Linked DNA regions of Bombyx mori. The protein of the gene in region 1 purifies or fractionates together with the protein of each later gene. This does not show direct contact. Links are inferred from orthologs where the notes say so. Each region holds a gene or a part of one and is shown on either strand. Other genes may lie near its edges. The genes, in order: exocyst complex component 2, exocyst complex component 5 and exocyst complex component 3.

Region 1 (3,659 bases):
TCCAACCAAAAAATAGAAAATAAATTTTAATAAATTTGAATTAAAAATAATGTAAGAAAAAATGATTTTATTGTAAAAAAAAGCGTGGGGTGCATGGTATCAGTAGCTATAAATATTTTATGAACAGATATGAGTAGAAGGGTTATTTTGATAATATCCTGAGAAGCACCATTTTTTCTTACACTATTTTTTAAACTATTATTTATACTTAACATAGCCGGTCGTCATATATTTAATACTTATTATAATTTTTTATCTTTTTATAGATATTACTTGATTAATTATATAAAGATTTGATTTCACTGATGCTTACTTGTTAATTCGGTAGGCAGCGGCTTGGTTCTGCCCCTAGCATTGCTGAAGTTCATGTGTGACGGTAATCACACACCATCAGGTGGGCCATATGCTCATCTGCCTACAAGGGCAATAAAAAAGAATCCTTTGACCACAGCAGAAAATGGCAACTTAACTGTCTGTCTTTGCACAAATATATCAGCTTAATTTTTTCTAATATTAACATTGGCTTCTGTTATTTGATGTTAATGTTGCAATCGTCTCAAACCCCAATTTGCACATTTAAATTACTCATTTTTTTTTAAACATTTTCCAGGAAATGATAATAGCTGGTGTCGAATTATTTTCGGAGCATATGCGCGCCTGTCTGCTGTCGGGCGGCGGCGTCACTTCCGCGGACGCGGCGCGGGCCCGGCTCGTTGCCAATCTGCGGCACCTCAGGGAGGCGTACGAGTCTCTGCTGAAATTGGATCTGCCCTCACAGGTACCTACAGGCTTGAGCTTCTCAAGTCACAAGTCGTCTTCTCGCATTAAAACTGTATAATCTCAAAACTTACTCATTCTACAGGAGAGCGTTTTAAAGGTTTAACATGTAATATCTTTAATATTAATCATCTTTGCAACATTTACTTTTTATTTTTTACCAGTTAGATTATCTGTCTTAAAGTAAGATAAAATTATGTATTAATTTTGTTAATAGTAGTCAAAACGTAGGTAAACTAAAAAAAAACTAAAACTAAACTACCCTCTTTTGAGAGTATTTATGGGAAAAATACTGGTGATACCAAATGTTTACGCATATTAACTCAATTTCGAATATTTTTGGAAATTGTACACTTTTAATGCGAAAAAGCGAAATGTGTTTTTTTTATGATTGAAGTGTTACTGGTGACACGTAGGCCTTTCCAGTTTCACCAGGACATGTGGGCGAGCAAACGCTCAGCCAGGAGGGGTGGGACTTGCTAACAGCTGCCCGAGCGCTTCCGAAGAAGACCTAACAACTCAAGAGTAGCTGCTTCGCGAATGAATCTACTACCGAATCGGAATCACGACCCGCTGAGAAGATCCGGCGAGAAACTCAGCGGGCTGATGCGTGGGTTAGGGTCATAAATGTTGTACCAATGAAAGTCCTTTAATCTTTACGTACAGTAGGTTAGACGGAATCGGGACGCTTTCCAATTCCAACACAAATTTTCATTGGCTTTTCTTAGAGTAATACCAATAAAATTGAGATTAAAACCGTCCGGAGGTTGAAATTTTCATATATGATGCATTATTATACATAATTCATTGAAAAATATAAACAAAAACTTAAAAAACGAGCTTGACCTGATCCACCTTGGTTTTTGGAGTGAATCGGATCACGTATGGGGTCAATAGAGTTTTTCGATAGGGCTGACACTGATTAGTTGTTAGGTAGGTACTTACCTTTAGGTGATTAACTTTTCAATATCTTTAATCAATCAGTTACAACACTCTGATGACTAAATTAAACTATTTAATATTCATAAACACTAAAAAAAGCCCTTTTAAATTCAACAAATTCAAATCTCACAAAAGCATTTTGACAACCCAGATTTTTGTCCCTATTCTACCGCTAGCCCCTATTCCCTCTTATCTAAGGTGCCTGAACATTAGATATGTGCGTAATAGCGGTGTTACATTTTGAATATCAACACTTTAATGGTGGTAGGCTTGTCCGCACGGGTAGGCACCACCGCCCTGCCTATATACAGCCGTTGTAACTATACTCAGACCTTAGAATTCATGTCTTAAGGTGGGTGGCGGCATTTACGTTATAGATGTCTATGGGCTCCGGTAACCCCTTAACAACAGGTGGGCTGTGAACTCGTCCACCAGCCAAAGCAATAAAAAAAAAAGTGGTAGCGGAAACTATACAAAATGAAATCTGATGATAATACGATTTGGGATTTCTGTATGGAAATCACGGAAATACGAGAACATGTACTTTATCAATGCAATGTACATGTTTGGAAGGAAAAAATTGTAATGATATTTATAATGTATGTCTGATAGTTATGTGTTAGATTTTTAAGTTACTAACATAGATTATAAGTAATTCTTACTAACAAAATGATATGGTTTTTTTTTTCTCTAAAAAAAATTTAAATCACTACATAGTATAAAATAAAGTCGCTTTCTCTGTCCCTATATCCCTATGTATGCTTAAATCTTTAAAACTACGCAACGGATTTTGATACGTTTTTTGGAGTTGGATAGAGCGATTGAAGAGGAAGGTTTCTATGTATAATAATATCCATTAAATAGTGGAGAAATCAATAATAAATTACAGTTTCCGAAGCGAAGCGAGGGCGGGTCGCTAGTAAAGGATAAAAAAATGTGTGTCCAGACAAACGGTTCTGATGCGAGCCATGGTTGGGAATAAAGAGTAAAGATCCTCAAGGGTCGGAGTTATATGGCCAACATTTGTCCAGTCCTTAAAATAGTGTGGTAAGATATGATTGTCCGGTTCAGTTTTGATTAAATAATTGTAACCGGGGTTTATTTAATTACAGCCACTGAGCATAGTGGAGCGCGTGATATACGACTACCGCGTGCACGGCATGGTCGTGTTCCTTCAGCGAGCTCTCAAGAGGGTTAAAGGTCTCGCTGACAAGGAAACCTGGAAGATCGAAGAGTTCACCGAATATGGAGCCATCACTAAACTGGTTAGGAGTTACGAAATTTGGATTTTTTAAATTTTTTTTTATTGTTTAAATGGGTGAACGAGCTCACAGCCCACCCGGTGTTAAATGGTTACTGGAGCCTATAGACAACTACAACGTAAATGCGCCACTCGCCTTGAGATATAAGTTCTAAGGTCTCAGTATAGTTACAACGGCTGTCGCACCCTTCAAACCGAAACGCGGTACTGCTTCACGGCAGAAATAGGTGGGGTGGCGGTACCTACCCGTGCGGACTCACAAGAGGTCCTACCACCAGTAAAGTAGTAGTAGTTTGTTTAACTACCGATACCTTTGCTCCAAGCATGGAGACGGCATTCGCGCTGTTGCGTCTGTGTGCTTTAGTAACCGCTACGTACTAGGTGATCTGTAAGTTCCACTGTGTCTCTTTACACTAACAAGAAAAAAAAATACATGTGTGCAATTTGTAACGTATATGCGACCTAATGTCGATTCTCATAACATTAATCTTTGCTGACCACTCTACGAAACATACTCTATGACTCCCCCGCCATATTGTCTACGACGTACATGTTACACGCTAGTAAAAACTGAATAATTGTGATTAACAAATAAAAATGTAAGCCCGATCGTAACGTTTGTCATTTATAAAAGAACCCAAACATTACACAATTCACACGTGGTAGAAGTAAAACCTTC
Region 2 (3,659 bases), on another chromosome or scaffold:
ACATTTACTGATAGAACACGTTGATTATGCATTGGATTTGGGTCTGCAGTCTATACCTATCGCGGAAGGCAAGTCGCCACCTCAGGTTCGTAGATTTTTTACATTCTGGCAGCAAAGTATTCATGATGAATAAATAATAGTTTGAGTCTTTATTGTCATTACTTAAAGTATGGTTTTGGTTGAGTTATAACATTATTATATATTCATTATATTAGATCCATAGACTTGGAATTTAGTGATCACTGGTGTCTGTAAATACCTCAACGTTTAAGTTGAGGTATTTACAGACACCTCAGCTGTCTTTGACTCATGACTGTGATGTTTCAATTGAATTAAAGTAACAGCTTTACAGAGTAGAAGGCCTTGTTGATTGTTGATATACTCTTTTCCAAAATAAATGCAGAGAACAATGAATAATAATAATTGGTTTGTTTATTTTTAATAAATAATTTAATTTCAGATATATTTCTTTGATACTGTAAAACAAGCTAATGTAATTGTGAGAATGTTCGAGGAACATTTCCAGGAGTCGATTTTACCTTGTATAAGGTTAGTGTTTTGTAAAGATTGATTGTAATATATCAAATGAATTGTATTATGCTTATGTTCTATATTACTTTGAGTGTTGATCATTAGTGGCAAGCACATACCATTGATAGTTATACAGCAAGTATGATGCTGAACCAGCGCCCATATTACAATTAATCAACAACTGATCAATTTCGCACATTTATTTATTTGCTCAAAATCACGTTTAAATCTTATTTGAAAAATATTTTTTTGTCAAATTTGATAAAAGCATATTTTTTTTTATTGCCCTTGTAGGCAGACGAGCATACGGCCCACCTGAAGGTGAGTGGTTACCGTTGTCCATGGACTTCAACAATGCCAGGGGCAGAACCAAGCTGCTGTCTAATACGACGAGTATTCAGGAAGTTCATGTTTCGTGAGCCCGCTGTCTAAACGGAAGAGTCAATGCATCGAACGAGGTCGTTGACTTCGCGTGTTTACTGTTTTTAAGTGTTATACATTGCGTGCAATACAGAGGGTGTGGTGTCTTCATCAAATATTTCAGTTTCCCTTCTTTATCGATAAGAGAGCATAATTGATTATAACAACACGACACTAATGATTCAATCACAATTTTCTTGAGAACAATTACCTTGCGGGAGATATATAAGTGGTCGTTGTATGCATATGGGCTCACACTACACCGTGTCAGAACTGAAAATTTGGATGTAAAAATAGGTTATAAAAAAACTACAATTTACAGCTCATCGTCGAAACAAACAGAATGTTTACACAAGAAGACCGCTATAATGGACCAACTCGAGAGCAAACTTGACGCTGGCTTGGAACGTGCTATATCGGCTATAGTGAGCTGGGTGAAGCTGCATCTGCAGACCGAACAAAAGAAGACTGACTTCAAACCGGAAGGGGACATCGATACTATAGCGTCACCAGTAAGATTTTTTATTAAAACCCTTCGGACAACGTCGGTATCGTATGTATGTATAGATCGGCAAATTGGTTCGTGACATTCTTATAGTTTACGGGCGACGAAATATATAAAAAAAACGAGACTAATATTCAAGTTATATTTAAATTAAAATAATCTTGCGATTATTTAACACTTTTTACTGATTATTTATTAATTTAGCTGTAGTTATACGATGGAGTTTGAATTATGCTAATAATACGTCGTGGCCTAAAGGATAAAACGTCCGGTGCATTCGTGTCGAGCGATGCACCGGTGCTCGAATCTCAGGCGGGTACCAATTTTTCTAATGAAATACGTACTCAATAAATGTTCACGATTGACTTCCACGGTGAAGGAATAACATCGTGTAATAAAAATCAAACCCGCAAAAGTATAATTTGCGCGGTTAGGTACCACCACCCCGCCTATTTCTGCCGTGAAGCAGTAATTCGTTTCGGTTTGAAGGGTGGGGCAGCCGTTGTAACTATACTTGAGACCTTAGAACTTATATCTCAAGGTGGGTGGCGCATTTACGTTGTAAATGTCTATGGGCTCCAGTAACCACTTAACACCAGGAAGCTGTGAGCTCGTCCACCCATCAAAGCAAAAAAAAAAACAAAAACATTGTAAAACCATAATCACTTTTTCATGCGCTTCTCCAACACCATATATAAAACAATTAAAAATCTAAATATCTTCCGCAGGCTTGCCTAGCAGTGGTGTCCTATTTGAATTCGGTAATGGATAAAATACACGATGGTTTGGAAGACGACAATAGAAATTCCATCTCGTTGGAGCTGGCCGTGAGACTGCACAGGGTTATATACGAACACCTGCATAACTTCCAGTTTAATTCGGCAGGTATGGTTCATGTGATTCCACTGTGACTGCGAATGGATTGACTGTGGTGTTTTCTTGTTTTTGTTTTAAGCTGCTTTCAGACTACGCTATACTATAGTGTCATCTATATTTATACTAATATATAAATATACTTGGAGGAGGCCTTTACCCAATCCGAGGTTCTTTCTAACTAAAGTTTACAACAACTGTTTCATTACAAAACTCTCTTTTGCATCCTAAATATTAATATATACATTTATATTTATTATTAATTTTAAACTTTGTAAAAGCAAGAAATAAATGACTTATTGTTATATTATTATTATCTTCTCTATATATAAAAATGAATTGCTGTTCGTTAGTCTCGCTAAAACTCGAGAACGGCCTGACCGATTTGGCTAATTTTGGTCTTGAATTATTCGTGGTAGTCCAGAGAAGGTTCGAAAGTTAGATAAATATGAAAATGCTCGGATTTAAATAAAAATAACAATTTTGTTTTCCCTTTGATTTGTCTCCCGTTGGACGGATTCCTTTTGTTTGTTTTAAGTTTATTTTATACAAAAGTTTAGGTATTTTATTTATCGATTGAGGCACTACGAAGTCTGCCGGGTCAGCTAGTTTACTTATATTTATTTAAAATCTTATTCATTACTTGACCTGAAACTCGGTATCCATGTAGAAAATACATGTACTTAATGGATAGACTAATATTTATATCAGTGTTGGACTCCCTAATAATAATGACAGTAAATAATAATGTTAATTTTAAATGCCCAGCGAAGCAGGCGAGTGCGGCTAGTATAGTATATATAGCAGCCTATACTTAGCCAATAATATATGGTAGAGTACAGTGTGAACGTGTCCATAACAATGTATGGTGTGCGATGTTGTTGTGCTATGAGCTATATACTATATGCTATTATATAATAGCGTTGCCTGAAAGCGGCTTTACTGTCTGTTAAAACAACATGTTCTAAAAAGTATATATGTATAGCTCGGTGTTGCCAATTTTCGTACTCAAGGCTATCAGCTTCTTTTCAGCGAATAATCACGTTGAGTTGAAAATGGAGTCGTCGTACTTAGATCTAATTAAAAATTATATCAAGGTAGGTACGTATTGTGAGTCCGCACGAGTAGGTTCCACCACCCTGCCTATTACTGCCGTGAAGCAGTAATGCGTTTCGGTTTGAAGGGCGGGGCAGCCGCTGTACTGTTAATATTGAGACCTTAGAACTCTTGGCTTAAGCTATGTGGCAGCATTTACGTTGTAGATGTCTATGGGCTCTCGTAACTAATTAACATCAGGTGGATCATGAGCTTATCGAACCATCCACCGGTC
Region 3 (3,759 bases), on another chromosome or scaffold:
TTGTCGTTCCAGGAAGTCATTAGTGTAGCCACAATCCCGACTAAGACCTTTTAATCTGTTTGCATAGTGTTCCATCGTTTCATTTTGTTCTCTAGTGCAATTCCAAAATTCTGTTAAGGCTCTATACCTCGTCGTTTTTATGCGATAGAGGTCTAATAATTTGTTACAAATTTCGCTGTATGTAGCTATATCGAAATCAGGCGTTAAAGCTACTTTTAATTCGTGGAATATCTCTGGTGTTAGTAAATTCAGAAGCAAATCTTTCTGTAAGTCGCTGTTATCGATATCAAGAATTTTGCATTTGTTTTCGAAAAAATCAATGTAATCGTCAATTCTGAATGTATCTGGATTGTATTTATCCATATTGAAATGTTTGATTATACTTATCTTGTTATCCGTATCATGTTTTGTAAAAGAGTCGTTCGTCACGCTCTTGGCTGTTGTATTGCAAGCTGCTGGTACCAACAACTTCAAGATTTGTAAAATCTGTTCTTGCTGATTTTGTTGTGCATGTAAAAATAATGCGAATTGTTCATCGTTCATCTTAATTTTTTTTTTAACTCGTCGCCAATATAATAAAACAATGTTTTCAAGACATAGCATAAAATATAATAATGATAGGTGGTAAAAATGACAATGTGTTCGAAGTATATTTCAAAATAATGGAATATAGAAAAGAAGGTTACAACAGTGGGAGAATAAAACAAAGCCGTTAGATGTAACTTGGGATCCTCCAAAAAATCCACTGAAAAAGTCTCAGTAAATGACTACTATTTTACCGAGATTATATCTCGTCTCGTCTCGTCTCATCTTATCTTATCTCATTTCATACCATGTTTCTAATCAACTTCATTTCATTTCATATTATAGCTTTTCATATATTAAATAAAATGTATATATATACAAAAGATTAGATTGTATGGTATAACACCTTTGCCTTTCCAGTTGGAAAAATAAAACTAATAAAATTTTCTAAATTTGTATTTGTGTAAACACTGTAAACAGCAAATCTTGTTTACATCATGAGTTCCATGGATGAAATAGAGGAAGAAGCTAAAGCAGCTGCAGAAAAAATGGTCATGAACATGATGCAAAGACCTGGACAGCTTGAGAAAGTAAGCAATAAACTATCTGCTGTGCAAAAAAAATGTTAACCCTCCCACTATAATTAACTCATTCTGCGATTGTCTTATCGGCAACACTTTCAACTCTGTTTTAATTCTTTATCTTATATGAAAGTAAAATAAAAATAGATACCTAAATTAATAAAATAGGACGTGCATCTCACTTGATAGTTTGTGGGCTTTGAAAGTGTTATTTAATGTTATAAATGTGCAAGCAATCATCTGTGCTCTTCCCAGTTTGCGTTAATGTGGATCATTGCTATAGTCTTATTTAAAATGATGTGTGATGTAAATGTTTATTTAGAAGTGATTTTCAAACAGAAAATTTTACAGAACAGAAAATGTTAGCATTGAATGTTAACAGTTTAAAAAATACATTGAAAAACCTATGTGAAATGTAATATAGCTTAGCAAATATGCATAAATCTAAACATATTTTTTTAAAGTGTGTTACACATTGATATGTCTATCATACTTTTTTTTACCTCAAAATCCTTCAGTATTGTTCACTTTTAAAAAGTGGATGAAAGACCTATATTTTGTGTTTAAATGTATTAGATTTATATGTTCTACTTCCTATTTTATGTGTACTCAAAATTGTTATCTTTTGTATTAAAATTATTTTTACTTAAGGTAGAGCATTACAAGAAAAGAATCACACACAAAAAGGCTTCCATAGAAGCACAGTTAAAATCTGCAGTGCAGGGGAAGTTAGATGGAGTAAGTGTCGGGTTAAAACAACTTCAGGAATGTCTTGATGATGTGCAAGAAATCAGTAAAAAGTATGTATGATTTGTAGATATTTTATACTTTATTCATAGCTGTTAATATTCATTAAAGTAACTGAAAATAGAAGGATTCACAAATAGGTGTGTGACATGTTGGGTGACAACAGTCACATTGGGATGTACTCCAGGTATGGTAGGGTAAGCTCGGTCACCCATCTACGTATAAAATAATAATAATTACACTACCAAAAAAAAAAAAATTACTGAAAATTGATTTTACAGTGATTATTCACACATTCTTTTCAAAATTTCTGGAAATTAGACGGTTGTCAAGAAGAGATCTCTTTTACCAATAAGACCGCCTATTGTACAAAAGTATTTGCTTGTTGACTGTTTTTGAATGAAAATTGTGTTTTGGTATGCAATAAAGTATATTCTCTCTCTCTCTCTCTCTCTCTCACTGTTGAATATGTGTTGAGGGCAGGAGTACAACTAGTCTTTAGCTGTATTTTCTTTATAATATCGTCGGCTTATTGCAAGAACTCATTAACTGCAAAAAGTCACTAAATGCATTTTTATCTATAATGGGCTCATTTTTGCATACTCTACAAAATGCAAAAACACACTAATTTCTAACTGGCCAACTTTGGCCGTTACGTCTTTGGCAGAAAGTTGATAATTGCAACTTTGGAAGTCAGGCATTTACAAAGGTTCACTAAGCAGCACTAGTTATTTTTATTAAATGGATAATTATTTGAAAACAGCATACATTACATTACAGAACTCATTTGCAGCATCTAATTAATTTTATCAAAACAATGTAGTATAATATAGCTTAAAATTGTATTTCGATAAAATTCATTATTTACATTTAGTTAGTTTCCGTAATGAATCATTTCATCACAAATGCACAATAAGTAATCTTAATGATTTTTATCGATATTAATATAATATAAATCATAATATTAAGATTTCCATAAAATCATTTATTCTTTTACATTATTTTTTCATTTTGTTGATGGCATGATTTTAATAAGTTAACATCGATTAAAAGAACATAGTAACTTCTTGCAGGCTATGTGGTTCCTCGATTGTAGTTTAGTCAGTTATATAGGGTTTGGTGAAATGCGACAAAAGAGCGTTTCTAGGGAACATGGGGCATAGGACGAACCCGGGCGAGGGTGGGTTTGCGCGGGACGAAAGAGTACTGCTTCGCTCGGTCAGTTTGCGGTGAGATACGTTGATTACCACGCCTGTTATACAAGTTAATGATTTCTGACAAAATGCAACGAAATCAATGTTTCAAACAAGGACGAGGAAGCAATATGTTGGAACAATTGAAGTTCCGAACAACCTTCGCACAACCTAGCAAGCAAACGCCTGACCTACAATAATATCATTCTTTCCACGCCTGTAAAAGACGTTAAATGATACACTGGAGAACGGGCAACATCGTTATCTGAGAATCATACCAATGGACTACGATTGCCAACTTGTATTTACTGATAGGATGGTTGGTATGGCGTAGGGCAAGCCCGTACGAGCTGGTTGGTACCACCATCGAAGAGAAGCAGCCGTGCGGTTTGATTTGAAGCGTGGAGCAGCCGTTATATGGAACAATTTAGATTTAGATTTCGGGTCTCAAGGTGGTGGCATTCACATTAACACCAGCCTTTTTTATATTTTTTTAGAATTGAAGGGTTACTGGTGGCCCGGAGGCCTTTCCAGTTTCACCAGAACATGTGGGGTAGCAGAGGCTCAGCCAAGAGGGGTGGGATTTGCTAACAGCCGTCCAAGCGCCTCCGAAGAAGAACTAACAACTCAAGAGCAGCTGCTTCGCGAATGAATCTACTACCCGATCGGAATCACGACCCACTAAGAAGATCCGGCGAGAAACTCAACGAGCT

Evidence for each region.
Region 2: the proteins of exocyst complex component 2 (region 1) and exocyst complex component 5 fractionate together in Homo sapiens (co-fractionation; 4 studies listed by BioGRID and IntAct, with this or other methods). This does not show direct contact. The link is inferred for Bombyx mori from reciprocal best matches to the Homo sapiens genes EXOC2 and EXOC5.
Region 3: the proteins of exocyst complex component 2 (region 1) and exocyst complex component 3 purify together in Homo sapiens (affinity purification with mass spectrometry; 6 studies listed by BioGRID and IntAct, counting the BioPlex papers as one, with this or other methods). This does not show direct contact. The link is inferred for Bombyx mori from reciprocal best matches to the Homo sapiens genes EXOC2 and EXOC3.

Annotation. Positions count from the first base shown.
Region 1 is NC_085121.1:12,803,210-12,806,868, forward strand, and holds part of exocyst complex component 2, read left to right. Parts: intron 1-610; coding exon 611-778; intron 779-2,831; coding exon 2,832-2,984; intron 2,985-3,659. UniProt on the Homo sapiens protein: Component of the exocyst complex involved in the docking of exocytic vesicles with fusion sites on the plasma membrane.
Region 2 is NC_085131.1:6,365,911-6,369,569, reverse strand, and holds part of exocyst complex component 5, read left to right. Parts: coding exon 1-85; intron 86-460; coding exon 461-549; intron 550-1,273; coding exon 1,274-1,463; intron 1,464-2,184; coding exon 2,185-2,341; intron 2,342-3,659. UniProt on the Homo sapiens protein: Component of the exocyst complex involved in the docking of exocytic vesicles with fusion sites on the plasma membrane.
Region 3 is NC_085118.1:10,563,297-10,567,055, reverse strand, and holds the start of exocyst complex component 3, read left to right. Parts: upstream 1-945; 5' UTR 946-1,022; coding exon 1,023-1,115; intron 1,116-1,757; coding exon 1,758-1,906; intron 1,907-3,759. Other genes in the region: uncharacterized protein LOC101740964, read right to left, coding at 1-603. UniProt on the Homo sapiens protein: Component of the exocyst complex involved in the docking of exocytic vesicles with fusion sites on the plasma membrane.